Xenopus tropicalis: one gene and its partner. The protein of the gene in region 1 interacts with the protein of each later gene in a pairwise test. Links are inferred from orthologs where the notes say so. Each region holds a gene or a part of one and is shown on either strand. Other genes may lie near its edges.

What was found.
Region 2: the proteins of npas2 (region 1) and arntl2 interact in binary tests that used the Homo sapiens proteins (3 or more experiments, as listed by UniProt). The link is inferred for Xenopus tropicalis from reciprocal best matches to the Homo sapiens genes NPAS2 and BMAL2.

Annotation. Positions count from the first base shown.
Region 1 is NC_030678.2:110,289,010-110,305,071, forward strand, and holds the end of npas2 (neuronal PAS domain-containing protein 2), read left to right. Parts: intron 1-292; coding exon 293-436; intron 437-1,812; coding exon 1,813-2,037; intron 2,038-3,442; coding exon 3,443-3,636; intron 3,637-5,537; coding exon 5,538-5,621; intron 5,622-9,679; coding exon 9,680-9,854; intron 9,855-10,545; coding exon 10,546-10,692; 3' UTR 10,693-12,595; downstream 12,596-16,062. UniProt on the Homo sapiens protein: Transcriptional activator which forms a core component of the circadian clock.
Region 2 is NC_030679.2:2,982,033-2,998,094, reverse strand, and holds part of arntl2 (aryl hydrocarbon receptor nuclear translocator-like protein 2), read left to right. Parts: intron 1-7,848; coding exon 7,849-7,996; intron 7,997-9,012; coding exon 9,013-9,051; intron 9,052-12,829; coding exon 12,830-12,987; intron 12,988-13,118; coding exon 13,119-13,198; intron 13,199-16,037; coding exon 16,038-16,062. UniProt on the Homo sapiens protein: Transcriptional activator which forms a core component of the circadian clock.

The DNA of each region.
Region 1 (16,062 bases):
TTTGTAAAATGTGCAGTTACATACTATTCTCAGAATGACTGGATATTTTATATTTAATATACAGTATATACTTCATGTTCACCTTAAGACTACAATGCAATGCTGGAAAATTAATACTGTGAAAAGTGAAACAAAATACTGTACATAAATATTTCTCATTCCATGATGAGTTTAGACAGTCTTAACTATACTTGTTATGTATAGCCCAGCACTGTTTTTCATATTATATAGAAAGATAAGTGTATTTTATCTGCAGACTTTTTTAATTAAGGCATTTTTCCATTTTTATAAGCTGCCTGCCCAGTTTAGCATCCAAGCTATACAAAGCCAGCTTCAGCAGAGAACCCAGATTCTCCAGGCTAGCATACAATGGCAACAGGAAGAACTTAAAAAGATCCAGGAACAGCTTCATATGGTCCAGGAGTCTAACATACAGGTGAATAATAAATGCAAGTGTTCATAAGATATAGCTGACTGTCCCCTCCACCTTACTATATGCATTTTATATTGTTCTATGCATATAGGGAGAATGTGAATACCCTACTATTAGAATTGAAGTTGCACTACATTAATAAGTTACCTATTACTTTAGAATGAAAAATATGATTTTGCTGGATTATTTCTATTCAGTCATACATCTCTCTTCTTTATGGTGTCCTAAAAAAGTAGTCATAAAGCTTGGGAATAAAACATTTTAAATCAATGAAAATGTATTTATTAAATTATATTGGTAGTACAGGTATGGGACTTGTTATCCAGAATGAACAGGAGCTGGGATAAAGGGTATTTCCATACTTTGGATCTTTTTACCTTCTACTTAAAATTTTAAATATCTGCTAAAAAATTATTTAAACATAAAATAAACCCAATAGGATTGTTTTGCCTCCAATAAGGATTTATTATATCTTAGTTTGGATCAAGTACGCAGTGCTGTTTTATTATTACAGAAAAAAAGGAGATGGCCTTCCCATCATTTGGAGCTTTCTGGATAATGGGTTTCCAGATAACAGAACCCATACCATGTAACTTGGAAAGCAATGGATACACAAGAACTTTTATTTGTCTTAAATGCATTGACTACAAAATGGGCAAAAATGGGTGCATGCCACTATTTTTGCACTTTGCACCTTGCCTTACATGCTAAATGACATGCAACAGGTGTAAGCGTAGCGGATGGTGTAAGGCATTGCTTATTTACAAGTAGTGGACCAGTTTTATCTCATAAAGCATGTTAGAGGGCCAGGTTCAATTAAAATAATGATGTCATATAGTGAAATATATGGAACAGACTAAGTGCCATAAAAATCCCTTGAAGGGTCACATCAGGCCTTCATTTGGAAAACCATGCCCTAAGGCTAGTGCCATAAATGGGTGATTCTTGCAAATAATCAGAAGGCCCCTAAGCTCCTTAAAAGCTTCTTTACGTATGTTTTTCTGCAGGCTAAGAATGCCCACATGTGGCACTAGCCTAACATGCAAGTAAGAGTACAGCTGTGGGTAAAGTCTGCAACAAGGTCCTGTATTTAAAGCCTATTGGAGGCCACAAGGACAGGCCTGTTCTGCATCCGCAGCCATTGTGCTCTGCATCATTTTTAATCCTGCACAAGGTGCAGAACAGAAAACTGCCCATGCTGCAAGTCAGACATAACTAAGCACTAAGGGGAATGTTTTACCGTTCCTTAGCGCTCTTTCATAATTCTTGCCAAACCATCTGCTTTGTGGTTGATTCTTTCACCCCCTCCCTCCTGCTCTTCTATACCTTTGTCTTTAGTGTTATGCAGGACAGACTAAAATATACTCATCTTCCTTTAGATATTTTGTCATCCCCAAACACCTGCTCTAAACTTCAGCAACCTACACCAAACAGAGACACAGCAGCATCCAGTCCAACAGAGATCCAGCACCATACCTCAGCAACCACAGCACATTATGCTGAGCCTTCCAACTCAAGGGCAGATTATCTCTAAACTGATTCCAGGCCAGCATGTGGTTTCATCTCAGCAAGTGCTCAGGGATTCCACTGTACTGTCAAGTAAGGTAAAGCATAATTTATTTTAAGAACTTTGACAATTTTATTTCTTACTAACACCAAAAAGGCAGATATATAAATATATATATATATATATGTATAGTATATATTTTCTATAGTACAGGAATACCTGCAGTTGAAGCTCAAAACCAGCTTCCACCACTCTTTCTGCAAATGATGCAGTGCAGGTATAGGATCTATTACCTGCAACTTGGACCACCATTCTTAATGGCTACTAAAAAAACATTTAAACATCAAATAAAACAAATAGGATTGTTTTACCCCCAACATGGATTTATGAGCTTATTTACTCATTCCTCTGTATTACTACAGAGGAAGGGGAAATCAGTTAGGATAATGTCCCACAGGGAGATTTAGTAGCTGCGATTTTTAAAAAGCGAGTTCCAGAGACAAGTCGCTCGTTTTTTCTCTACATAGAGAAAGCATTGTCATTCATAACCAAAACTATTCGAATCAACTCGTTTTTTAAAAATCACAGCGACTAAATCTCCCCATGGGACATTAGCCTTAAAAAATAGGATTTGCTTAAATATGACTATATGGAAAATGCAATTAAACTATAGTTCCAGCACTGTAGAGTCTATGTTGTGGCCACTGGCACTAAAAGGGTTAACAGCACAAAAGTTGCAAATCCAAACTATTCTGTTCATAATAGTATACAATTATCAATTATATGTATTTCTTAAAGGGAATCACTCATGATTTCCTTATATAATTCTAAGCATTTTGGCTTCAAAAGTGATACGTAAATGTAACTGCTGTTGAGAGCATTTGCTTGTTTCCCTCTGCAGTTCCCTTTCTTTCTATTGAAACAGTGTAGCAGAATCCAGCAATTCCATTTACAAATACAGGAACAAAACCTGTTATACAGAATTCTTGGAACCTGGTATTTTCTACATAAGGAATCTTTCTGTAATTTGGATTTCCATACCTTAAGTCTATTAAAAACTGTAAATCACTTATTTTTGTATAAAGAATGGCAAAATATTTGTATTGACAAGCAGAATATTCTGCTGACAAGCAGACAGGCAATTTCTTTATGCAAGAAAAAATGTGTTCAAGCTGCATCAGCAGTTTCAGCTCATAACATTACTAGTGGGACCTTGCTCTGGATATACAGAAGGCTTTCTCAATGAACAGTAATAGGGATTTCTGCAACCTAACAATATCTTGAAGGCTAACTATTATTGTCTTACAGCAGCAAAAGTGAAGTGTACAAAATATTACATTGTGTAATGTATACCAACTCTGTACAGTGTTGGGGATGGCATGCTAATACTACAGAGCTTTAGATTTCCCACAGGCTTAATGTGAGGTTGTAAACTAATTGGACAATGTATCATAGTGTGCAAGCGCCTGCTATGGATTAACAGTACAGAGTATTTGTTCTAGGGACAGAAATCAATAAGAAGTCTGCATGAAATATCAGACAGCGCCCAGCCATCTACCAGAAATGCTACCTCTCAGCTCAATGATCCCTCCTCCAAAGTGACACAAAGTCTGGACGTAGTACCATCTTCTGATTCACAGCAGGAAAGCATTCAGCGTTCTACTGCACCAGACTTCAGCCATGACAGGCAGCTAAGGTCAGCTTCTTATTACTGTCTACAGTGTACATACATGGTGCCTGTGAACTCTGCATCTGTTTGCCAGGTTTACAAATAGGGACGCTTTTTAACTAACGTAATTGTCTCTGGGGAGGGTGCATCAAGGGGGGACAATGGAGGGCAGTGGATGGGGCTTTGGTTTGTGGGGAGGATTTAGTTCTCTTTTAAACAACCCTTCCCTTTTTAAAAATGCCCCTGATATATTCTATTTATCTATTATTATCTCTAAATAACAAATTATTTTGCCAAAAACTGAGGGTGTGCAATAAGACAAAATAATGTATGTATAATGTACCCTACCTTGACCCAAAATTTAATTTATCAGCTAGTGACAATAGAACATGGGTCACACTGGACTGCAGATAGGCCTTTGCTAAGTGAAGAAGGACATGAGAGGATCTCTGGTGCAGTATCAAAGCAAACAGGACGAGGTTCTTCCAAATGAACAGGCTTATTGTGAAAAGTTTTCACAAGGCAGAGCTGAATAATATGACACCACTGTGGATATGCATGGTACTATAGGTTTAAGATACACCTTTAGGTTACCAGCTAGTGGTCTGGATCCTGTCAACTGGAATTGTTCAGGAAGTGATACACTAAAGCCTGAATCTTTTCAGCAGTTTGATCCCCTCACTTTAGGACCTATGGGAGAGCTACCTCTAGCTATCAGTTCTAATGTGGAGCACAAAGCTCCTTTTCTGACCTTTTCTAGAAAAATTGTCCATCTATGGCAGAACTTTTTACTGGGCCTTATTGACCCCAGGCCCCCCAGCATACATTCACCTAGGTCAGAACATGGAAGCCAAAGAGGGAAAACCACCCCTTTCCAATAACTGTATCAAAGTGTGTGGCAGGAAGTGGTTACTAACCTATTGGCCAATAACAAAGATATGAAAATAAGATAGATAAATACAAAGGCTTCTGCCTAGCAACTAGGGAAATATCATTTGTAGGAAATTTACATCCATGGGGACAGTTAACCCTATGGGCCCCTACAATAACACACTTGTTTTGCAACTGATTTCATTTACTATTTAGTCTACAACAACACAACAAAATTGTGACACGTTTAAGGGTCCTTAGCAATGCTGTTTGTTCTGAAGACAGGAGAAGCATCTGTAAATGTATCTGTATTTCTTTTGCTGTCTGTAAAATATAAGGCAATATTATGGGGCACATTTACTAACCCACGAACGGGCCGAATGCGTCCGATTGCGTTTTTTTCGTAATGATCGGTAATTTTGCGATTTTTTCGTATTTTTTGCGATTTTTTCGGCGTCTTTACGATTTTTGCGTAAAAACGCGAGTTTTTCGTAGCCATTACGAAAGTTGCGCAAAGTCGCGATTTTTTCGTAGCGTTAAAACTTGCGCGAAACGTCGCGCCTTTTAAGTTTTAACGCTACGAAAAAGGCGCGACTTTGCGCGCAAGTGTTAACGCTACGCTTTTTTTCGTATTTTTTGCGATTTTTCCGGCGTCTTTACGATTTTTGCGTAAAAACGCGAGTTTTTCGTAGCCATTACGAAAGTTGCGCAAAGTCGCGATTTTTTCGTAGCGTTAAAACTTGCGCGAAACGTCGCGCCTTTTAAGTTTTAACGCTACGAAAAACTCGCGTTTTTACGCAAAAATCGTAAAGACGCCAAAAAAATCGCAAAAAATACGAAAAAGTCGCAAAATGTTCGTTTCCAATCAGAATTTTTCCAATTCGGATTCGAAATCGTGTCTTAGTAAATCAGCCCCTATGTGTATATACTGATGGTAAAGGATAGATGAATGATGGAATTAGCAAATTTTCTAATAATGTTATATGTGTGAACAACAGCTACAACAAATCTACTCTCTGTGTACCCTACAGTGTAATAAGTGTAAATGTTTTTTATAGGCTGTTGCTGAATCAACCAATCCAGCCAATGATGCCAGTCTCATGTAACAAAAGGCAGACCTTAGATACTGGATGTCAGTCAAAGTACGTACTACATCTGCAGTAAACAGTGGTTTGTCCTGCTTGATAAGCGTTAAATCTTTTAGATGAATATAAGGTAAAACATAAAACATACCTATATCATTGTATATAAAAGAAATTAGTAACCCATTCTGATAGCAGAGGTTAGCAATACCAGAAAGAATATTGATGTTATAAAGACATATACCATAACTAAAAACCTCTCCAGTCTTGTAGGCGATAATAAATAACATAAGATGCTGATTTTACTTTGTGGCAAAAATTAATATTATCTTTAAAAAGACCACTTAATTGGAGCTCCCTGGTCAGAAGCACAGCAGGAGGGGGTTGCCAATCACAGGCTTGCAGTTACACAAGCAAAGGCAGGATTCAGTTCCCTATCAGGTCAGTCCAGCTGCTGATTGGTTCCTGTTCTACAGTGTGCTGAGTGCCACGGGCTCTCCTGCACAGCCTGGGAAAGGAGGCAGCAGGAAGATGGCAGGGGAGAGTAAGGTTTTGGTTTTTCAATAATCAACCCGATACACTACTTTTCTGAGTGAATTTCTTTTATATTTAGAGGAGTATAATGCAATGGCACATTCTTAATTTTCGCACAAAGCCCAAATGACTCATGGGATTTTTTTTATAGTACAGGTATCGGACCCCTTATCCGGAAACCCGTTATCCAGAAAGCTCCGAATTACGGAATGCCCGTCTCCCATAGACTCCATTTTAATCAAATAATTCAGAATTTTAAAACTGATTTCCTTTTTCTATGTAGAAACATGGGCGTCCGCAGAAAATTTTCCAAGGGGGGGCAAGTAAGCTAGTATCATCCTGCAACAGACAAATATATATATATATATATATATATATAAATATATATATTTTTTTTGCAGGATGATACTAGGGGAGGCTAAAGATGGCCCATACACAGACTGACCTACAGCTAATGTGACACTTAGTGGATTCGCTGCTGGCGTAAAAAGTTAACCTCCCAACTACCTCTTGCCGTTCCCACTGACTCCCAGGGATACTGTACAAAAGTGCGGGGGGGGCTTTTTTGTTTTTACCCTAAAATGTTTAGTATGTTAAAGTATTTATATGCGCATTTCTGTGAGGGGATCTGCAAACATTTGTGTTTGTGATCAGGGCTAGTTCGCATTCAAATTCACTTTTATTTTTAATGGTTTTTCAGTTATTTAGCTTTTTGTTCAGCAGCTCTCCATTTGGTATTTCAGCAGCTATCTGGTTGCTAGGGTCTTATTTACCCTAGCAACCAGGTAGTGGTTTAAACAAGAGATGGGAATATGAATAGTTAAGGGGCCTACTTGGAAAAATAAGTAATACAAAATTATAATAATAATAAAATTGTAGCCTCACAGAGCAATATTTTTGGCCCCCATTTGAAATCTGTATAGAGGCAGAACAGAGGCCTGTGTATAGTACCTGGGTATAGTACCTGTGTATAGTGCCTGTGTATAGTACCTGGGTATAGTACCTGGGTATAGTACCTGTGTATAGTGCCTGTGTATAGTACCTGGGTATAGTACCTGTTTATAGTGCCTGTGTATAGTACCTGCGTATAGTGCCTGGGTATAGTGCCTGCGTATAGTACCTGCGTATAGTACCTGCGTATAGTGCCTGGGTATAGTGCCTGCGTATAGTGCCTGCGTATAGTGCCTGCGTATAGTGCCTGGGTATAGTGCCTGCGTATAGTGCCTGCGTATAGTGCCTGGGTATAGTGCCTGGGTATAGTGCCTGGGTATAGTGCCTGCGTATAGTGCCTGGGTATAGTGCCTGGGTATAGTACCTGGGTATAGTACCTGGGTATAGTGCCTGGGTATAGTGCCTGGGTATAGTACCTGAGTATAGTGCCTGGGTATAGTACCTGTGTATAGTGCCTGTGTATAGTACCTGTGTATAGTACCTGGGTATAGTACCTGTGTATAGTGCCTGTGTATAGTACCTGTGTATAGTACCTGTGTATAGTGCCTGTGTATAGTACCTGTGTATAGTGCCTGTGGGATGAAATCTGCAGCAAAAGTTGAGAGTTGGTTCTCAGGTAAAGTTACAGCTGCAGATTCTTCTTTTCAGTCTTCATTTGTTTCCAGTTTGCAAAATCTCCCGATCCCTGTGTGCATCTGTGCTCTGATTGGTCAATTTTACTGTCTGTCAAGGAAGCTGTGCTCTGATTGGAGAATCCACAAGAAGAAAGATCCAATCGGAGCACAGCAAAAACGGGCTTGAGGAGACAGTGCAGAAAGTAAGGTTTTTTTTGCTACTTTTCCAGGGGGGGGCAAGTGCCCCCTCTTGCCCCCTTCTGTGGACGCCCATGTGTAGAAATAAAACAGAACCTTGTAATTGATTCCAACTAAGATATAATTAATCCTTATTGGATGCAAAACAATCCTATTGGGTTTAATTAATGTTTTATTGATTTTTTAGTAGACTTAAGGTATTGAGATCCAAATTACGGAAAGACCCCTTATCCGGAATACCCTTGGTCCCGAGCATTCTGGATAATGGGTCCTATACCTGTAGTAGCTTTACAGTGGTATTGGGAGACACTTTTGTTAGCCAATGTAATATATGGCATGTGCGCCAGTTCTAATTACATATAGCAACCAATTAGCAAGTAGTGTTTACCAATCACTTGCTTGAAAGCAAATGTACTAAAGCTGTTGCTAAGTTGCAAATGTTACTAAGCCTGTTGCTAAGTTTGTAATGCTCCTTACATTGGCCTCTACGTATGCTCTGATACCTGATGGTACAGGTATAGGACCCATTATCCAGAATGCTCGGGACCAAGGGTATTCCGGATAAGGGGTCTTTCTGTAATTTGGATCTCCATACCTTAAGTCTACTAAAAAATTAATAAAAAGTTAATTAAACCCAATAGGACTGTTTTGCATCCAATAAGGATTATTTATATCTTAGTTGGGATCAATTACAAGGTATTGTTTTATTTTTACATAGAAAAAGGAAATCAGTTCTAAAATTCTGAATTATTTGATTAAAATGGAGTCTATGGGAGACGGGCTTTCCGTAATTCGGAGCTTTCTGGATAACGGGTTTCCGGATAAGGGGTCCGATACCTGTATCACCAAAATGCAAACCAGGCTTAACAGCTTAACCAGTGAAACAGCAGGATATTAGTCAAAGATTGCTTAACAGCCAACAACCAAAAATATTTTTAGCTAAAATAAAACACTGTATATATACTCCATACTGGAGACAAAACAATCCTGTTAGGTTAAATTAGTGTTTAAATTATTTTTTAAAAGACTTAAGGTATGGATATCCAAATTACAGAAAGACCCCTATATCTGGAAAACACAAGCAGGTCTCAAGCATTCTGGATAGCAGGTCCCATACCTGTACCAATCTTAATCTTGCTCCTTCAGTACGCCTGCCACACTGTATCCTTATTCTTTAAAAACAAATGTAGGTTTATTTTGATATAACACTACAGGACTTGCTTGCCTTGCTCTGGGATTTTTATGGTCTAAGTAACATAATTTCAAAACTGAGATTGGCTACTTCACACCATTACTTACAAGTATGTTATATTTAATTTTTATATGCTCAGTGTTGAAAACATTAATGAACAGAACATTTTTTTTGTGGAGAATGAATATAATTGCATTTGCTCACTAGACTGAAAATACATCTAATCCACACATATCAGCCCAACAGCAACCTGGCTGTCAACTGAACCATGCACTTTATGCAATAATCTAGACCAGATTATAGGATTAAAGTGTTGTAGTGTTATATCAAAATATACTTAGTTATGTACCAATGTCTAACAGAACCCAGATTATAGGTACATGCTGTAGGATATAGGATTGCATACAAAAGTGTGTGTCTGTGGCGAGGGGGGGGTTGGGATATTGACTACATTCAGTGCATTTTTCAGATGCATTATCAGATAGGGTCACAACCACACATTGGGTAAAACTGTTAATCTCTTAATTTAATTGTATTCCAGCAGTTGCAACTCTTAGGCACTTGTGACATTGATTCTTATATAATTTGGACAAAAAGAGAGTGTTTTTTCCTTTTCTTTTTTTGAATAGGTATTTGCAAAATTCACAAATACTTAGAAATGTAGAGGTGCAGACTTCTGGCACTAGTGCGCCTATTGTCATAATGGGGCAAGCAATCTTACATCCAGTTGTTTCTACAACTCATCCCTCCCAGCAGCAAAATCTACAGACTATGCATCTACAACAGCAGCAGCAATATGTACAGGTAAAACACTGTTATGTAGACACATTTCTAAAAATAAAAAACACCCTAGGCCCTTCTGCTTTGTTCAGACAATTAATCCATCTTCTAGTGCTGACTCCAGCAATATTGTACTGTAATTCCCTATGCTCATATATCTAGCAGAATTTCACGGTAATTGTTATACATATCCTATAGACCTACTCCCAGTCCCCAGAAGTGCTTAAAATGAATAAATCCAATTGACAACTAGCTAAAGACACTCCGTAAATTAGATCTGTGAATAAGTGACTAAGAAACAACCAGAACTAAAACCAAAAAAATAATATAGGGAGGGATTGCCGTGGTAGGGAAGACTCTACCTCATTTCTATTGGGAAGTCCACATAGCACAATGCAAAACTTTGTCCAAAAGTCCTTAGAATTATGTTTTCTTTTATTAGGCAAAAAATTATTTTTGCAGTTGACATGTCCCTAAGAAGTCTCTGTAAGAGTTAATACAGCTGCTCCATAAGTGAATATAAAAATGCATATCTGTTATTGATCCACTATGTCTGAGAGACTTGGTACCACATTGCACACACATTTTACCTGACTCCAACCTCAATGCTAGAAAGTTCCTAAGAATGAATACTTTATGTAAAAAATTAACTCTGCTTCATAAAAACCGTCTATATCCTTATTTATTACTCCATTCTCTTTGTTGTATCCATTAGAGCCCAAGTTCTTTTCAAAACCAACAGCCAGATTCTTTGGGCTTGCCCACCTATGCTCAGCAGCAAGACACGATTGGATTTCACCAACAGCAACAACTAACACTAACAAGGACTAAAAGCCTTTCTGAGAAATCAGGTGTACTTTAGAATGCTTGCTTTGTTAATTCTTTACTGCACTAGCCCAACGCATATCTACCGGAACCTGGATTGCCTTACATTTTGGACCTTGCTGTTTAGTAGAATACGTGGGAAAGCAGTTGATAAATATGCAGCCAAGATCATGAAGCTAACAAAGAATTTTGTGTTGCTTGTAATTACAATTTATGGATTTATATTGACTCATACAAACTGATCTTTAAAGTCATAATTCTGCTTTCAAACAACCCTTTTGTGACAAATTCCAGCACTTTTCAATTTGTCAATTCATTTTTTAATCTTTATTTAATGTAATAAGAAACCTTGGAAAGGAGACCTTACAAATATCATAGAAAGCATATGTATATCTAGTAAGTTGCTACTCCTTAACATTTTCTTTTCCATGTTAATGACCTAACATATATAAGCATTGAATATAATGACGCAAAACAGAAACATTATAAACAGAAGCAGATTAACTCTATCAAAGGACAGAAGTAAAGCTGTTACTCATCCACCCCTGCTCTGCCCCCACTAAACACCACTGTGCCCCCTGAAAACCATGTGCCCAGGGTTGCTTTTCACATACAATATTTTTGCTAGTGAATTAGTTATTATTATTTCCTTTCTTGATCTTCAGATTCAATTTTTTCCCTGAGCAATAGGCCTGTATATATTCTTTTTATCACTACACTATTGGAATATTGATAGGAAACCCAACGCATTACACAGACTAAGATAATATGCTGGATGCCTTTCAAAATGAGCCTTAAGATTCATTTTACTGATAAAACAAAGGTATTTTTGAAATATCTATGACATATAAATATCTCATGAATAGTTAGGGAAAAAAGAAATGTCATGCTAATTGAAATATTCAAACTGATTTTTTTTAAACTTACTCTTAGGTTTTTAGTTCCTTCTTTGAGGCAAGTGAAATAAAGGGCTGCTTGTGTTTATGAAAGAAAAGAATACTTTATAGTAGGCTGAGCTCACATGCATCTAAACCTACATGTTAAGTTGATGATGGTTCATTAAAGTGGCATCAAACCTTCTTATTTTTTTTTTTTTACCAACTAGCCCCCTCTATTGCATTTGCCCCTTCCCAACTTTATCAACCCGACAAACTGACAGCCAAGTTCAGAGCTGCACAATGAGTTTAGCAGGCTGCCATTTTTGACAGCTTAATTTTCTGGTCCACACTTCACTGTGGGGAACATTTACACTAGAAGCCAGGGCAAGGTCATCTTCCAGAATGCATTCTTCTGCTTAGTGATCATCGTTGTGAAGCCTTGGGACTGATGTGGCCAAACATGAGAGAATGACCATGGACTGGAAGATGAAGTGGGCAGGGACAAAATAGGTAAAAGCATTCTAATAACATTCTAATAACAATATATATCTAGTGATCAAAAATAAAAAATTATTGCAGAACTTTGTATAAAGGACTTACGAAAAAAGCTTTAGCTCCTAGTTGCTCTGTGCTGCAACCAAATACAACTGCAAAAATCCAAAAAGTAGGAGAAAAAGCTAGATATATCTAGTGATCTAGCTGCATATCTTATTACAACAACCTTAGATAAAGATGTTAAACAAAAAGGCAAATAATTGAAGAATTATCAAAACAGAAACCAAATGCAAATTGCCTTTTAATGTCAACAACATACTAAATGTTAACTATAAACTCAAACTTTTCCTTGCAAATGAATATACTACAGGTTAATTTGCAGGGTGATGCAAGTTATACATTCTCCAAAAGATTCATTGTAACAAGTGCACTTTTTGAATTCTATTTTTTATATGATTTGTTGACATTTCTGTAACAAAATGATATATGTAACCAGAGTACAGTATTGTACAGTTATTGTAATGATGACTTATTTCTATAAAAAAATAAAACCAAAAATTTACATTTCTTATTTGTTGCGTAATATTATTTATATTTTTCTTATTTGTAACTGTTTAAATTAAATTAATTCATATACTGTATTTAGAGGGCACAGATAAGCATAAAATACAAGTTGTGTTTTTTCCTGCAGTTTAGTAAGGCCAGCCTTAGGGTTAATATTGAATACCTTTACCAGCACCTCTTCTACAGTGTAAATTGTTATTCTGCATTTAGTTTACTAATTATTCATGCTTCAGTGGATTCCCTTGATTTCTTTCATGCTCACTTTGTGAAAAGCAGACACAATTGCACTGTGTAGTGAGCATAGGGCTTTTATTGGATGTTGCCTGCAGTCTTTGCAGCCATACACTGTGGTGTTTTAATGGCATAATATGTCAATTAAATCGTTAAGCTTCTTCCAAAACCCAAGACCAATAAAATGTGCAAGATAGTTCATTTAATTGAGAAGAATACAGTAGTGCTGCATATGGCGATGAGGTAACCTAACCAGGATCCCCCTTCATCAATAGGCGCAGTATTGCTTAATTTGTAAGAGAAGGCAAGAAGGACTGAAAGGAGCTGAACGCAAATATATAGGGAAGTGCATGGAGCACATTTTGACATATGTACCTTTAATAAAAAGTGGTTTTACGCTCAACTGACTGTGGGAACCAAAACTGCACTTGTGGATATACATGAGCCCTGTTGTTTATGTGGTGTGGCCCTAATATAATTTTACAAAACTAAATTTAGAATTTCATACAGCAACAACTCTTTAAATAGGTATATAATTACCAAGCTAGATATAACAGGTGGCACTGATCCGAAGACACTCAATATCAAATACTTTCCAGTTTTTTTTAAACCAAGAAAAAGACACACAGCAGAACAGAAAGCAGAACACTCCTACGAAGCTTTCATTGGGATGCCATAATGGCTGACACTTGCACATGATGGATGTGTCTTTTTTCAACCCCAGCAAGTTTGTTGCTATGTAGCTCTCTATACATTTCTGTTAATGCCATGAGTGTGCATTGTAAAATATATTCCACTTCTTTTTAACAACCAACAACATGCAGCAAGAAATCAGCACACTCTAAAGCACTTGTCATTATGATGCCATAATGGCTGACACTTGCCCCAGAAAACTTTGCAATAAAGGCATTTTAATCTACAAAGACAAGAGGTGCTGTTCCTGTTCTTCTGTACCATAATGGCTGACACTGTCACACCTCAATACACAAAATGAAGTGTATGTAACACTTAATGAGTGGGCTTCACATGCAAATGATGTTTATTTATGGCCGGACATTACCATGCAGTTGGCTGGCACTTCCAACGATGAACTATAGGTTCCCATTAACCTCAACCAAATCCCTATCTAGTACAGGATTGCTTTGGGCTCCTACACCACATACACTGGCCTTCTTGCTAGGGGCACAGCTACAATTGCTAGCTTTAAGTGGCAGTTTCCAGGGAAAGGCTGTTGGAGGTGGATTGTGAGGGGTGGCAACAAATGTGAATGTGTTTGTTATTGCTAATGGAGTAATACTTATGTGCACTTAAAAGGGCCTGTCACCACCATATAAGAAGCCACATAACGAGAGGAGCAGCTGAAGGAGTGTGTATGGGGGGGGCACTGTGTATGGGGGTATTGTCTCAATTGGGGGCACTTACTATGGGGGCGTTGTGTATGGGGGTACTTTCTATGGGGGCACTGTGTATGGGGGGTACTTTCTATGGGGGCACTGTGTATGGGGGGTACTGTCTATGGGGGCAATTGGGGGCACTTTCTTTGGGGGGGTACTGTCTATTGGGGCACTTTCTATGGGGGGTACTGTCTATGGGGGCAATTTCTATGGGGGGCACTGTGTATGGGGGGTACTGTCTATTGGACCACTGGGGGCACTGTGTATGGGGGTGCAAAACTGGTACAGTTATAACTCACTTATAACTGACTGCCTTCTCTCTATATTTGTGTTTTATATGTAGGAGTTGCTATATTGTTTTCCTTAGGTAGTACAGTATGAGGGTATGGCACAATTTGCATCTGATCTCACCATTTCAACTATATAAAGGAGTATTTTTTGGAAAAAAAAGGATGGGGTGTGGTAATTTGCGTGGCCATAAAAGTGGGCGTGGTCAAAAAATTGCAGCACTGCACACGCCAAATCTTTTTGTCCCTCTTTTCATTGTTCAAATGTTGGGAGGTATGCTTACAGTCTGAGCCGAAGGTGTGTACCTTGTAAAGATTAAAATGTGTGAACACTATAGGGGATTACATGTTTAAACAATACAGGGGAATTACAGCCTGAATCTGAGGTGTAAACCATGCAGGGGGGGCAGTTTACACAAAGGGAAGCCATCAAAGCAGCCAGACAGGTGGGGGGGGGCACACACTGGGGTGTCGTGGGCCACATGCAGCCCTCCAGTTGGACAGCACTACCTTAAACCAAAAACCAGATGACATATTTATCATGGGTTATATAATGAAGACGACTTATTAAAAACTCCCCATAATGGAAAACAAAATTCTAGTTCCAAACTATTAATAAATGAATCGCCTGACACATCAGCATTGATATACTGTGGCATTATAAAACGCATACACTTAAGATACATAAACTGTACGTTATGCAGAAAAGCCTCATTACAGTGCCTAGCACTTGCTTTCTGCGCTTCTGTTTCCTTATAGCTTTTCTCGCTAAACACAGTTACGGACGCTAAATCTATAGCAAGCTGCTTGTAACTATAGCAACCCCTTTTCCGCATACGATTCTCAGAACGTAGCGGACGTCATTACGTCGACCCGGAAACGCATTCACGGGGTTGGAGTTTACTTCACTCCCACAATCCTTTTCTACTTCCTTTCCGACATAGTCCCTGGTTGAGTGAGTACGGGCGAATGTAACTGCTCTAATTCTATCTGTAACCATCCTCGCTCTGTCTCCATCGGATACCTTCGGTTGTTCCCGGGCTTGTCTGTGAGACTCGGGGCGACAACTTAATGTCATTATCTGGAGCTAAATAGGAAATAAGATGCGTTTTGTGTATTATCTTACCCGGGAGATTAAGGCCGCGTTCCAGATGTTAGCGACATTAGGATCTATGGCATTAATGCAGATATATCAGCTAAGCCCATACCATTACAGTACTAATGAATCACTGCGGGCATTTCTGGGCCTTTATTTCATATCGCAATTGAGAGGGGGGGGGGGGTAGGTTTTCAGTAATCGCATCACCCTAGCGACGTGGGGATGGTGGACGTCTCTGTTAGAGACATTTAGTTTTTAAGAATGTGATTTGTACTATGTATGTTGCCGGCTATAGAAATCATGACATAAGCCGAATGTATTCTTCATATGAGTATTGCAGCAGTAGCCACTCGGTAGTACTGTAACTGTGTCGGCTTCCTTGTCACTGAGTGGCCGGAAAGTGTGGCTGAGGCTTGAATTGAATAAAACTCACCACGGTATCCCCATAAATCCAGTACA
Region 2 (16,062 bases), on another chromosome or scaffold:
CTATTATGTACCTATTATCCTACTCGCCTGCATGAGTACTTACCTGCCACAGTGAGTGTTATTTGTCTATCTACTCACCCAAACCCCCCCTCCTACCCTCTCCCATCCCTGTACTTACCCCTTACTGCCCTCTGTACTTACCCCCCTGCGTCTCTCTGCTTCTGTCCTCACTGTGTCCTCAGTTACTTACATGCAACTGTCTGTCCCTTTCCCTTCCCTGCACTGCTGGTTCTGACTCCTGATACAACTCCCCAATATCCATTCATTCCTCATTCTCACTGGGTTTATAGTTATGTGTAACTGTCACTGTGTCTGTCCCTTTCCCTTCCCTGCACTGCTGGTTCTGACTCCTGATACAACTCCCCAATATCCATTCATTCCTCATTCTCACTGGGTTTATAGTTATGTGTAACTGTCACTGTGCCTGTCCTTTCCCTTCCCTGCACTGCTGGTTCTGACTCCTGATACAACTCCCCAATATCCATTCATTCCTCATTCTCACTGGGTTTATAGTTATGTGTAACTGTCACTGTGTCTGTCCCTTTCCCTTCCCTGCACTGCTGGTTCTGACTCCTGATACAACTCCCCAATATCCATTCATTCCTCATTCTCACTGGGTTTATAGTTATGTGTAACTGTCACTGTGTCTGTCCCTTTCCCTTCCCTGCACTGCTGGTTCTGACTCCTGATACAACTCCCCAATATCCATTCATTCCTCATTCTCACTGGGTTTATAGTTATGTGTAACTGTCACTGTGTCTGTCCCTTTCCCTTCCCTGCACTGCTGGTTCTGACTCCTGATACAACTCCCCAATATCCATTCATCCCTCATTCTCACTGGGTTTATAGTTATGTGTAACTGTCACTGTGTCTGTCCCTTTCCCTTCCCTGAACTGCTGGTTCTGACTCCTGATACAACTCCCCAATACCCATTCATCCCTCATTCTCACTGGGTTTATAGTTATGTGTAACTGTCACTGTGTCTGTCCCTTTCCCTTCCCTGCACTGCTGGTTCTGACTCCTGATACAACTCCCCAATACCCATTCATCCCTCATTCTCACTGGGTTTATAGTTATGTGTAACTGTCACTGTGTCTGTCCCTTTCCCTTCCCTGCACTGCTGGTTCTCACTCCTGATACAACTCCCCAATATCCATTCATCCCTCATTCTCACTGGGTTTATAGTTATGTGTAACTGTCACTGTGTCTGTCCCTTTCCCTTCCCTGCACTGCTGGTTCTGACTCCTGATACAACTCCCCAATACCCATTCATTCCTCATTCTCACTGGGTTTATAGTTATGTGTAACTGTCACTGTGTCTGTCCCTTTCCCTTCCCTGCACTGCTGGTTCTGACTCCTGATACAACTCCCCAATATCCATTCATCCCTCATTCTCACTGGGTTTATAGTTATGTGTAACTGTCACTGTGTCTGTCCCTTTCCCTTCCCTGCACTGCTGGTTCTGACTCCTGATACAACTCCCCAATATCCATTCATTCCTCATTCTCACTGGGTTTATAGTTATGTGTAACTGTCACTGTGTCTGTCCCTTTCCCTTCCCTGCACTGCTGGTTCTGACTCCTGATACAACTCCCCAATATCCATTCATCCCTCATTCTCACTGGGTTTATAGTTATGTGTAACTGTCACTGTGTCTGTCCCTTTCCCTTCCCTGCACTGCTGGTTCTGACTCCTGATACAACTCCCCAATACCCATTCATCCCTCATTCTCACTGGGTTTATAGTTATGTGTAACTGTCACTGTGTCTGTCCCTTTCCCTTCTCTGCACTGCTGGTTCTGACTCCTGATACAACTTCCCAGATAGATTTGTTTTTTCCAACAGCTTCATCTGTTTTGGCAACAATAACCCTACAGACTGGGTGCCAGGGCCAGTACCTTCCCTATACTGAGGGTGGCGCTCCTGAGCCTGTTGGGCTGCCATTGCTAAGTCCACATTTGGGAGTCTTTATTTTGTGCTGAGTCTGATGATGTCCAGACTTGCAGTTGGTCTTCCTGCAGGCAGCTTTGTTTCACGGGGGGATTTCATTATCCTTTCTTTATTTTCATTGGGGTGGGGTACAGCATCATGTGAACTCCCTCACCGCCACTTTCTCTCAACTCCATTTACACAAGATTTAGTATGTCGTTATACACTCCCCCGTGCAAAGGAAGCAGAGACAGTCACATGGGTACCGGGAAATACACTCCCCCGTGCAAAGGAAGCAGAGACAGTCACATGGGTACCGGGAAATACACTCCCCCGTGCAAAGGAAGCAGAGACAGTCACATGGGTACCGGCAAATACACTCCCCCGTGCAAAGGAAGCAGAGACAGCCACACGGGTACCGGGAAATACACTCCCCCCGTGCAAAGGAAGCAGAGACAGTCACACGGGTACCAGGAAATACACTCCCCCCGTGCAAAGGAAGCAGAGACAGTCACACACGGGTACCAGGAAAATACACTCCCCCGTGCAAAGGAAGCAGAGACAGTCACATGGGTACCGGGAAATACACTCCCCCGTGCAAAGGAAGCAGAGACAGTCACACGGGTACCAGGAAATACACTCCCCCGTGCAAAGGAAGCAGAGACAGTCACATGGGTACCGGGAAATACACTCCCCCGTGCAAAGGAAGCAGAGACAGTCACACGGGTACCAGGAAATACACTCCCCCGTGCAAAGGAAACAGAGACAGTCACACGGGTACCAGGAAATACACTCCCCCGTGCACAGGAAGCAGAGACAGTCACTGTGACATTCAGTCACAGCCTTACTATACACACACACATGCTGCAATAATATCCTTGCTGGCTGCTCCCGGGGGTGATGACATGTAACTTACTCCTTAGCGAATCTAAAATAAACCCTGTGAGTAAGAGGAACGCCATTGGGCGCGGCAGGAACAGGAGCCGCCACTGAGCCTCACGTTTATGGGAAATGAATGGGCCGAGTACAGGCAGTCCCTTCTGTAACTGGATCTACTGCCCGCCCTATACTCTTATTATTATTATTATTATTATTATTATTAATAACCGCCTAGTCTGGGGCCCCTCAAACCAGGGCTCAGTGGGAAAGGGGCAGCCCCCAAAGTTATTGACCCCCGGGATAAAATTGGTCTTCACATTTTATTATTTGCGGTTTTTGAATTTTTTAGCTTTTTGCACAGCGGCACTCCAGGTTGGAAATTTCAGCAGCTGTGTGGTTGCCAGGGCTCAATTTAACCTAGCAACCAGGCAGTGGTTTGAATGAGAGACAGGAATATGAACAGGGGAGGGGCTGAATAGAAAGATAAGGAATAAAAAGTAACAATAACAATAAAACTGGAGCCTCACAGAGCAAAAGGGTTTGGCTGCCGGGGTCAGCGACCCCCATTTGAAGATACAGAAGAAGACGGCAAATAATTCAAAAACCATAAAAAATAAATTATGAAGACCAATTGAAAAGTTGCTTAGAATGGGCTATTCTATAACATAGTAACACTTTAAAGACTTCCCTCGGACACCGGAAAGAGCCACGTGACCCATTTTTTGCGCGGCCGTGCCATTATGCCCATATTGCGTGCCCATATAGCCCCGCCTCTGCCTTAGTCATTGCCACGGAAAGTAGGTCAGGGCGTGACTCTCACGAGCTCGCTGGTTGGCATTGTTTCCCTTCCCAGAGATCCCTGCTTCTGCCCCAGCTAGATTAACCCTTTCCCTGATCGGCATCAGCCATGTCTGTACTGTTCCACCTATCTGCCGGCCTGGCCAGGCTCACTTTCTGGCAGCTTAGTGTATGGGAAACTCTATGGCGGAGAGTGGGGGCAACTGCGTCCTGCTCGGGGCAAGTCACGTGATGTCAGGGAGCGATATGACTTTAAGTGAGTCTGCCCGGACTGCTAGATAGGGCTTGTTAGGCTAGAAATGCAATAGGCGTGACTCATTGAGTGCGGGAGAGCGAAGAGCTGACGCTTATATGTCATTATTAAAGAGGCTGGGCCCCCTTAGCCCATAACAAGGTTACAGATATATAGAAACATTGGGGTAACAGTCACCCCGCTATAGTTCCAGGGGTACCCAGGGCACAAATAAGCACTCACCCCAAATCCCCCCCTAACTGGCCTTCAGGCTGGGCCCCCTTAGCCCATAACAAGGTTACAGATATATAGAAACATTGGGGTAACAGTCACCCCGCTATAGTTCCAGGGGTACCCAGGGCACAAGCACTCACCCCAAATCCCCCCCTAACTGGCCTTCAGGCTGGGCCCCCTTAGCCCATAACAAGGTTACAGATATATAGAAAACATTGGGGTAACAGTCACCCCGCTATAGTTCCAGGGGTACCCAGGGCACAAATAAGCACTCACCCCAAATCCCCCCCTAACTGGCCTTCAGGCTGGGCCCCCTTAGCCCATAACAAGGTTACAGATATATAGAAACATTGGGGTAACAGTCACCCCGCTATAGTTTCCAGGGGTACCCAGGGCACAAGCACTCACCCCAAATCCCCCCCTAACTGGCCTTCAGGCTGGGCCCCCTTAGCCCATAACAAGGTTACAGATATATAGAAACATTGGGGTAACAGTTACCCTGCTATAGTTCCAGGGGTACCCAGGGCACAAATAAGCACTCACCCCAAATCCCCCCCTAACTGGCCTTCAGGCTGGGCCCCCTTAGCCCATAACAAGGTTACAGATATATAGAAACATTGGGGTAACAGTCACCCCGCTATAGTTCCAGGGGTACCCAGGGCACAAATAAGCACTCACCCCAAATCCCCCCTAACTGGCCTTCAGGCTGGGCCCCCTTAGCCCATAACAAGGTTACAGATATATAGAAACATTGGGGTAACAGTCACCCCGCTATAGTTCCAGGGGTACCCAGGGCACAAATAAGCACTCACCCCAAATCCCCCCCTAACTGGCCTTCAGGCTGGGCCCCCCTTAGCCCATAACAAGGTTACAGATATATAGAAACATTGGGGGTAACAGTCACCCCACTATAGTTCCAGGGGTACCCAGGGCACAAATAAGTACTCACCCCAAATCCCCCCTAACTGGCCTTCAGGCTGGGCCCCCTTAGCCATAACAAGGTTACAGATATATAGAAACATTGGGGTAACAGTCACCCCGCTATAGTTCCAGGGGTACCCAGGGCACAAATAAGTACTCACCCCAAATCCCCCCCTAACTGGCCTTCAGGCTGGGCCCCCTTAGCCCATAACAAGGTTACAGATATATAGAAACATTGGGGTAACAGTCACCCCGCTATAGTTCCAGGGGTACCCAGGGCACAAATAAGCACTCACCCCAAATCCCCCCCTAACTGGCCTTCAGGCTGGGCCCCCTTAGCCCATAACAGGGTTACAGATATATAGAAACATTGGGGTAACAGTCACCCCGCTATAGTTCCAGGGGTACCCAGGGCACAAATAAGCACTCACCCCAAATCCCCCCTAACTGGCCTTCAGGCTGGGCCCCCTTAGCCCATAACAAGGTTACAGATATATAGAAACATTGGGGTAACAGTCACCCCGCTATAGTTCCAGGGGTACCGCAGGGCACAAATAAGCACTCCCCCAAATCCCCCCCTAACTGGCCTTCAGGCTGGGCCCCCTTAGCCCATAACAAGGTTACAGATATATAGAAACATTGGGGTAACAGTCACCCCGCTATAGTTCCAGGGGTACCCAGGGCACAAATAAGCACTCACCCCAAATCCCCCCTAACTGGCCTTCAGGCTGGGCCCCCTTAGCCATAACAAGGTTGGGGCTCCGTAGCCAGGGCACTGGGCCAGCCCCACAGTTTGGCACTGTATAAGGGTTCTGGATCCAAATCCTTCGGGGATCAGGCTGAATCCGGAACCAAATCCTGTTTGTTACATCCCTAATTGTTATTACGTTATAGATAGAATCTGTGTAGATAGAATGCCTGGCTTTGTCCTAGGCAAACCCCCTTGCCAGCCTATGTAGATAGTACACCCACGTGACCTGTTTCTAGGGCCAGAGACCCTAGCAACCAGCGAGCAGTGTCCACGGAGGGAGCCGCTCAGAGACCTAAATATAAATAGGGAAGGCCTGGGGGCTCCTGAGCGAGTTGTATTTAAATCCAAGGCCCCGTGTTCCCTTTGTTGTGACCGATCCGCCAGATAAATTGATTTCTGACTTTAAACAGCTCAGCGGGAGTCGCAGTGACAATTTTATCTCTGCGCGCCCCCCCTTAATCCTGCTCCAGTTACTTTATATGGAGGGGTTTAGCCGGGCCGACTGTCTGCCGGGGTATTTATAAGTATTTAGGTTAGTGGGCCGGTTCCCTTCTGTGCGCGGCTTAATCTGCAGCAGCAGCAGGGAGGAATCCTGAGCGTCTCTGCCTGGGGGTTAAGACTTGCCTCCCTGCATCATGCGCAGGTCACAGGGGGACACAGCTTGCACAACATAGTGATTTGGGCCTGAATTTGGCACCTTGGCCCATCACCCCCCCCCCCCCGAGGGGCCTGGCGATACCACTGGGGGGGGGGGGGGCAGACTGGGGGAGGGGTGCTGTGGCCTCTGCAGCTCTCTCAGGAGGTAATTGGTGGGGGGGGGGGCAAATAGGCTGATTTTACCACTGCAGGGTATATACAGTACATTTTGCCCCCCTACAGAACTAGCCCAGATTGCTGCTGAGAATCAATAGAGAGATATGGGGGTGGGGGGTCGTGTAAGCAGGAGGCCCAGGCAAAGCTGATTAGCGCTGATCCCTCCCCTGACCTCCATGCTTTGGGCAGCCCCCCAGCTTAATCACTGCATTAACCCTTTGTGGTATAGTTACTGTATTTCCTGGTACCCGTGTGACTGTCTCTGCTTCCTTTGCATGGGGGAGTGTATTTCCTGGTACCCGTGTGACTGTCTCTGCTTCCTGTGCACGGGGGAGTGTATTTCCTGGTACCCGTGTGACTGTCTCTGCTTCCTTTGCATGGGGGAGTGTATTTCCTGGTACCCGTGTGACTGTCTCTGCTTCCTTTGCACGGGGGAGTGTATTTCCTGGTACCCGTGTGACTGTCTCTGCTTCCTTTGCATGGGGGAGTGTATTTCCTGGTACCCGTGTGACTGTCTCTGCTTCCTTTGCACGGGGGAGTGTATTTCCCGGTACCCGTGTGACTGTCTCTGCTTCCTTTGCACGGGGGAGTGTATTTCCTGGTACCCGTGTGACTGTCTCTGCTTCCTTTGCATGGGGGAGTGTATTTCCTGGTACCCGTGTGACTGTCTCTGCTTCCTGTGCACGGGGGAGTGTATTTCCCGGTACCCATGTGACTGTCTCTGCTTCCTGTGCACGGGGGAGTGTATTTCCCGGTACCCATGTGTCTGTGCTTCCCCTGGGGGGGGGGGCTTATATACATTACAGCACTGCTGGCTGAGAGGCCTATGCTAGGTGTAACAGGCTGTAGGACCATGTGACTGGGGCTCAGCGCCACAGTGAGTCATAGGCGGCTGCGTTGGGATAAACAAGGAAGTAGATGATTTGCCCCCGGGGCAGTTACACAGGATGAATGAGAAATACCTGAGTTAATGAAAAGTCTGTTTGTGCCAAACACGGATCCTGGCGCCTCTCCCTGCCGCGCGGGAAACACCGGCTCCCTTGTTGCTCTACTGGCTCGCTTGCATGTTGGCTCCGCCCCTTTATTAACCCCGTCCTGCGGGTTTGGGCAGAAGAACTGAGGGTAAAACCAGAAACAGGCAAAATCAAGAAAAATCAATTTTATTGTTGCAAATGACAAATGTAGAGGTTAAGTTCCCCTTGAATAGTTGGGATGGGGGGGGGGGGGGGTTGCTGACCCCCATTAGCCAGGTTGGTATTGCCCTGCCTGACCAGTGCTTGTTGCCCCCACAGATACCCTAATGATGGAGCCCAAGGAGTGCCTGGCCGTCTCTTCCATCCTGGGCCCCAAACCCGCGCCGACCCTCGTCACCTCCAGCTCCTTGGGGCCCAGCGCCTTGGAGTTTCCCAGGAAGCGGAAAGCCAGCGATTCCGACAACCAGTAAGTCACCCCAAGCCTTTCCAGTTTGTTAGCCCCGCCCCCCACTACTGGGGGTACTGTAATCATGGGAGAGTGACATACACAGGCTATGCAATGAGTGGGCAGGGCTTAGGCAGATTGTGGGTGGGATTTGGAATAATTAGGGAGTTGACCTTGGGTGGAGTTTGGCATAAATAGGGAGGGGCCATGGTGGGTCAGGTGTGTGGCCATGTATGGGAGGGGCATTTTGTGGGTGGAGTTTGGCATAAATAGGGAGTGGCCATGGTGGGTCAGGTGTGTGGCCATGTATGGGAGGGGCATTTTGTGGGTGGGGTTAGGCATAATTAGGGAGTTGACCTTGGGTTGAGTTTGGCATAAATAGGGAGGGGCCAAGGTGGGTCAGGTGTGTGGCCATGTATGGGAGTGGCATTTTGTGGGTGGAGTTTGGCATAAATAGGGAGTGGCCAGGGTGGGTCAGGTGTGTGTGGCCAAGTATGGGAGTGGCATTTTGTGGGTGGAGTTTGGCATAAATAGGGAGGGGCCAGGGTGGGTCAGGTGTGTGGCCATGTATGGGAGGGGCATTTTGTGGGTGGGATTTGGCATAATTAGGGAGTTGACCTTGGGTGGACTTTGGCATAAATAGGGAGGGGCCAAGGTGGGTCAGGTGAGTGGCCATATATGGGAGGGGCATTTTGTGGGTGGGATTTGGCATAATTAGGGATTGGACCTTGGGAGGAGTTTGGCTTAAATAGGGAGGGGTCAGGGTGGGTCAGGTGTGTGGCCATGTATGGGAGGGGCACTTTATTTTTCATTGGGGCCCCATTTTACCACCCAGGGGCCCCAGGTAACAGTGCACTAATAATGGGAATCCCCTGAGGGGAGGGCCGTGATTACTGGGGGTAGCCCTGGGACCTACTAACCCATTGGTCACCTGGGCCGAGGGCCAAAGTAGATGAGAATAACGGGGCCCCAATGAGGAAAAAATGTCCCCCCTGCATTTGGTCACCCGTATTTACATTTTATTTTCCTGCTCACAGAGTCACTGAAGGATCAGACGTGAATGACACTCAGGGAAGGTAAGTTGGACAGGCCAGCGGGTACCAATAGGGTGCTCTGTGTGCCCCCCCTGGCATTCCCAGTACCCAGAGGCACAAACAGCCCCCCCCAGCCCAATAAATAGTGACTGTCTGTGGCACCTTACAGCCCCCCTGGCATTCCCAGTACCCAGAGGCACAAACAGCCCCCCCCCAGCCCAATAAATAGTGACTGTCTGTGGCACCTTACAGCCCCCCCGGCATTCCCAGTACCCAGAGGCACAAACAGCCCCCCCCAGCCCAATAAATAGTGACTGTCTGTGGCACCTTACAGCCCCCCCCTGGCATTCCCAGTACCCAGAGGCACAAACAGCCCCCCCCCCCAGCCCAATAAATAGTGACTGTCTGTGGCACCTTACAGCCCCCCCGGCATTCCCAGTACCCAGAGGCACAAACAGCCCCCCCAGCCCAATAAACAGTGACTGTCTGTGGCACCTTACAGCCCCCCCCGGCATTCCCAGTACCCAGAGGCACAAACAGCCCCCCCAGCCCAATAAATAGTGACTGTCTGTGGCACCTTACAGCCCCCTGGCATTCCCAGTACCCAGAGGCACAAACAGCCCCCCCCAGCCCAATAAATAGTGACTGTCTGTGGCACCTTACAGCCCCCCCGGCATTCCCAGTACCCAGAGGCACAAACAGCCCCCCCCAGCCCAATAAATAGTGACTGTCTGTGGCACCTTACAGCCCCCCTGGCATTCCCAGTACCCAGAGGCACAAACAGCCCCCCAGCCCAATAAATAGTGACTGTCCTGTGGCACCTTACAGCCCCCCTGGCATTCCCAGTACCCAGAGGCACAAACAGCCCCCCCAGCCCAATAAATAGTGACTGTCTGTGGCACCTTACAGCCCCTGGCATTCCCAGTACCCGAGGCCACAAACAGCCCCCCCAGCCCAATAAATAGTGACTGTCTGTGGCACCTTACAGCCCCCTGGCATTCCCAGTACCCAGAGGCACAAACAGCCCCCCCCAGCCCAATAAATAGTGACTGTCTGTGGCCACCTTACAGCCCCCTGGGCATTCCCAGTACCCAGAGGCACAAACAGCCCCCCCAGCCCAATAAATAGTGACTGTCTGTGGCACCTTACAGCCCCCTGGCATTCCAGTACCCAGAGGCACAAACAGCCCCCCCCAGCCAATTAAATAGTGACTGTCTGTGGCACCTTACAGCCCCCCCTGGCATTCCCAGTACCCAGAGACACAAACAGCCCCCCCCAGCCCAATAAATAGTGACTGTCAGTGGCACCTTACAGCCCCGCCGGCATTCCCAGTACCCAGAGGCACAAACAGCCCCCCCAGCCCAATAAATAGTGACTGTCTGTGGCACCTTACAGCCCCCCCGGCATTCCCAGTACCCAGAGGCACAACCAGCCCCCCAGCCCAATAAATAGACTGTCTGTGGCACCTTACAGCCCCCCCGGCATTCCCAGTACCCAGAGGCACAAACAGCCCCCCAGCCCAATAAATAGTGACTGTCTGTGGCACCTTACAGCCCCCCCGGCATTCCAGTACCCAGAGGCACAAACAGCCCCCCAGCCCAATAAATAGTGACTGTCTGTGGCACCTTACAGCCCCCTGGCATTCCAGTACCCAGAGGCACAACAGCCCCCCAGCCCAATAAATAGTGACTGTCTGTGGCACCTTACAGCCCCCCTGGCATTCCCAGTACCCAGAGGCACAAACAGCCCCCCCCAGCCCAATAAATAGTGACTGTCTGTGGCACCTTACAGCCCCCTGGCATTCCCAGTACCCAGAGGCACAAACAGCCCCCCCAGCCAATAAATAGTGACTGTCTGTGGCACCATACAGCCCCCTGGCATTCCCAGTACCCAGAGGCACAAACAGCCCCCCAGCCCAATAAATAGTGACTGTCTGTGGCACCTTACAGCCCCCTGCATTCCAGTACCCCCAGAGGCACAAACAGCCCCCCCAGCCCAATAAATAGTGACTGTCTGTGGCACTTACAGCCCCCCCCGGCATTCCCAGTACCCAGAGGCACAAACAGCCCCCCCCAGCCCAATAAATAGTGACTGGTCTGTGGCACCTTTACAGCCCCCTGGCATTCCCAGTACCCAGAGGCACAAACAGCCCCCCCCAGCCCAATAAATAGGACTGTCTGTGGCACCTTACAGCCCCCCTGGCATTCCCAGTACCCCAGAGACACAAACCGCCCCCCCAGCCCAATAAATAGTGACTGTCAGTGGCACCTTACAGCCCCCCCGGCATTCCCAGTACCCAGAGGCACAAACAGCCCCCCCAGCCCAATAAATAGTGACTGGTCTGTGGCACCTTACAGCCCCCCCGGCATTCCCAGTACCCAGAGGCACAAACAGCCCCCCCAGCCCAATAAATAGTGACTGTCTGTGGCACCTTACAGCCCCCCCGGCATTCCCAGTACCCAGAGGCACAAACAGCCCCCCCAGCCCAATAAATAGTGACTGTCTGTGGCACCTTACAGCCCCCCGGCATTCCAGTACCCAGAGGCAACAAACAGCCCCCCAGCCCAATAAATAGTGACTGTCTGTGGCACCTTACAGCCCCCCCGCATTCCAGTACCCAGAGGCACAAACAGCCCCCCCCAGCCAATAATAGTGACTGTCTGTGCACCTTACAGCCCCCCTGGCATTTCCAGTACCCAGAGGCACAAACAGCCCCCCCAGCCGAATAAATAGTGACTGTCTGTGGCACCTTACAGCCCCCCGGCAATTCCCAGTACCCAGAGGCAACAAAACAGCCCCCCAGCATAAATAGTGACTGTCTGTGGCACTTACAGCCCCCCGGCCTTCCAGTACCAGAGCACAAACAGCCCCCCCCAGCCCAATAATAGTGACTGCTGTGGCACCTTACGCCCCCCTGGCTTTTCCCAGTACCCAGAGGCCAAACAGCCCCCAGCCCAATAAATAGTGACTGTCTGTGGCACTTACAGGCCCCCCCGGCATTCCAGTACCCAGAGGCACAAACAGCCACCCCCCCAGCCCCAATAAATATAAGTGACTGTCTGTGGGCACCTTACAGCCCCCCTGGCATTCCCAGTTACCCCAGAGGCACAAACAGCCCCCCCAGCAATAAATAGTGACTGTCTGGTGGCACCTTACAGCCGCCCCTGGCATCCCAGTACCCAGTAGGCACAAACAGCCCCCCCAGCCCAAAAATAGTGACTGTCTGTGGCACCTTACAGCCCCTGGCTATTCCAGTACCGCGAGGCAGCAAACGCCCCCCCGCCCAACTAAATAGTGACTGTCTGTGCACTTCAGCCCCCCCGGCATTTCCCAGTACCCAGAAGGCACAAACAGCCAGCCCAATAAATAGTGAGGCACCTTACAGCCCCCTGGCATTCCCCAGTACCCAGAGCACAAACAGCCCCCCCCCCAGCCCAGACCCTGTGGCACTTACAGCCCCCCGGCATTCCCAGTACGCAGAGGCACAAACAGCCCCCACAGCCCAATAAATAGTGATGTCTGTGGCACCTTACAGCCCCCCCGGCATTACAGCCCCTGTCCTGTGGCCCAGGCATTCCCAGTACCCAGACACAAAACAGCCCCCCAGCCCAAATAAATAGTGACTGTCTGTGGGCACTTACGGCATTCCCAGTACCCAGAGCACAAACAGCCCCCCAGCCCAATAACATACACTGTCCTGTGGCACCTTACAGCCCCCCCGGCATTCCCAGTACCCAGAGGCAGTGAAGCAGAAATGGACTCCCCCCCCCCACAAACTGTTGCACACAGTAGGAAATGGAGGGGTTACTTGCCCTTGCAGGGAGGCGCACAGAGAGACAGAAAAGAGGCGCAGAGAGAAAATGAACAACTTGATTGAAAACCTGTCGGCCATGATCCCCCAGAGCGGCCCGTTACCCAGCAAACCGGACAAGCTCACCGTGCTGCGCATGGCCGTCCAACACCTCAAGTCGCTAAAAGGTAAGTCCGGCCCAGGGTGTCACCCAGTGCGGTCAGCCCCGCCCCCGAGGATGTCATTTCCTGGCAGAAAGGGAATCTGGACACATTGCTAGATAGGCTTTACTTGTTCCCCGTGTCCCTTCCCTTCCCAGGGTCCAACCCCTCATTCGCCGACGAGAGCCCAAAGCCTTCCTTTCTGAAGCACGAAGAGATGAAACAGTTAATCCTGAGGGTGAGTCTGTGGGGTCCACTCCCCCTCTGTGGGTTCCTCCTGTCCCCATCTTGCCCTTCTGTCTCCATCTTGCCCTTCTGTCTCCATCTTGCCCTACTGTCCCCATCTTGCCCTACTGTCCCCATCTTGCCCTACTGTCTCCATCTTGCCCTACTGTCTCCATCTTGCCCTACTGTCCCCATCTTGCCCTACTGTCTCCATCTTGCCCTACTGTCTCCATCTTGCCCTACTGTCTCCATCTTGCCCTACTGTCTCCATCTTGCCCTACTGTCTCCATCTTGCCCTACTGTCTCCATCTTGCCCTTCTGTCTCCATCTTGCCCTTCTGTCTCCATCTTGCCCTACTGTCTCCATCTTGCCTACCTGTCCCCATCTTTGCCCTACTGTCCCCATCTTGCCCTACTGACCCCATCTTGCCCTACTGTCCCCATCTTGCCCTACTGTCCCCATCTTGCCCTACTGTCCCCATCTTGCCCTATCACTGTCCACTTACCCCACTTGGCCCTTTTCATCATGTTCTACTATCACCCCCCACCCATTGCCCCAGTGTTTTACTTTCATGTCTTGTAGTCTCCACTTGCCCTACTGTCCCTCCATCTTGGGCCCTACTGTCCCCATCTTGCCCCTACTGTCTCCATCTTGCCTACTGTCTCCATCTGCCCTTCTGTCTCATCTTGTCCTACCTGTTCCTCTTGCCCTATGGCTCCATCTTGCCCTTCTGTCTCCATCTTGCCTACCTTGTCCCCATTTGCCCTACTGTCCATCTTCGCTACTGTCCCCATCTTGCCTACTGTCCCATCTTGCCCTATCTGTCGCCCATCTTGCCCTACTGTTCCCCATCTTGCCCTCTGTCCATCTTGCCCTAACTGTCCTCCATCTTGCCCTATCTTGTCTCCATCTTGCCCCTACTGTCTCCATCTTGCCCTACTGTCTCCATCTTTGCCCTACTGTCCCCATTTGCCTACTTCCCCATGCTTGCCCTACTGTCCCCATCTGCCCTAACTGTCTTTGCCCTACTGTTCTCCATCTTGCCCTACTGTCTCCATCTTGCCCTTCTGTCTCCATCTTGTCCAACTGTCTCCATCTGCCTAATACTGTGCCCTTCCCCATCTTGCCCTACTGTCTCCAACTGCCTACTGTCTCCATCTTGCCCTACTGTCCTCCATCTTGCCCTACGTCTCCTCTTGCCCCTACTGTCCTCCATCTTGCCCACTGTCTTCCATCTTCTTGCCCTTGCCCTCTGTCTCCATCTTGCCCCCCCAGTTGCCCAGTGTTACTTTTCATGTCTTGGTAGTCCTCCCATCTTGCCCTACTGTCCCCATCTTGCCCTAACTGTCGCCATCTTGCCTCTGTCCCGATCTTGCCCTACTGTCCCCATCTTGCCCTACTGTCCTCCATCTTGCCCTTCTGTCTCCATCTTGTCCTACTGTCTCCATCTTGCCCTACTGTCTCCATCTTGCCCTACTGTCCCCATCTTGCCCTAGCTGTCCCCATCTTGCCCTACTGTCCCATCTTGCCCTACTGTCTCCATCTTGCCCTACTGTCTCCATCTTGCCCTACTGTCTCCATCTTGCCCTACTGTCTCCATCTTGCCCTACTGTCAACATCTTGCCCTACTGTCCCCCATCTTGGCCCTACTGTCCCCATCTTGCCCTACTGTCCCCATCTTGCCCTACTGTCCCCATCTTGCCCTATCTGTCCCCCATCTTGGCCCTACTGTCCCCATCTTGCCCTACTGTCCCCCCCATCCCCTACCCATCTTGCCCCTACTGTTCTCCATCTTGCCCTAACTGTCTCCATCTTGCCCTACTGTCTCCATCTTGTCCCTACTGTCCCCGTCTATCCCTACTGTCCCCATCTTGCCCTACTGTCCTCCATCTTGCCCTACTGTCTCCATCTTGCCCTACTGTCTCCATCTTGCCCTACTGTCTCCATCTTGCCCTACTGTCCTCCATCTTGCCCTAACTGTCTCCATCTTGCCCTACTGTCCCCATCTTGCCCTACTGTCTCCATCTTGCCCTACTGTCTCCATCTTGCCCTACTGTCTCCATCTTGCCCTACTGTCTCCATCTTGCCCTACTGTCTCCATCTTGCCCTACTGTCTCCATCTGCCCTACTGTCCCCATCTTGCCTAACTGTCCCCCATCTTGCCCTAACTGTCCCCATCTTGCCCTACTGTCCCCATCTTGCCCTACTGTCCCCATCTTGCCCTACTGTCCCCATCTTGCCCTACTGTCCCCATCTTGCCTACTGCCCCCATCTTTGCCCTACTGTCCCCATCTTGCCCTACTGTCCCCATCTTGCCCTACTGTCTCCATCTTGCCCTACTGTCTCCATCTTGCCCTACTGTCCCCATCTTGCCCTAACTGTCCCCATCTTGCCCTACTGTCCCCATCTTGCCCTACTGTCCCATCTTGCCCTACTGTCCCATCTTGCCCTACTGTCCCCATCTTGCCCTACTGTCCCCATCTTGCCCTACTGTCCCCATCTTGCCCTACTGTCTCCATCTTGCCCTACTGTCCCATCTTGCCCTACTGTCCCCATCTTGCCCTACTGTCCCCATCTTGCCCTACTGTCCCCATCTTGCCCTACTGTCCCCATCTTGCCCTGTCCCCTTGCCCTACTGTCCCCATCTTGCCCTATCACTCTCCACTTACCCCACTTGGCCCTTTTCATCATGTTCTACTATCTACCCCCCCCCCATTGCCCCAGTGTTACTTTCATGTCTTGTAGTCTCCATCTTGCCCTGCTACCCCTTCATATCCATGTTTCCCGGGGGGGGGATACCCCCATGCCCCTTCCTGCCCCCCCATCTTACCCTTGTGTCCTTTGCATTTCAGGCTGCAGACGGATTCCTGTTTGTGA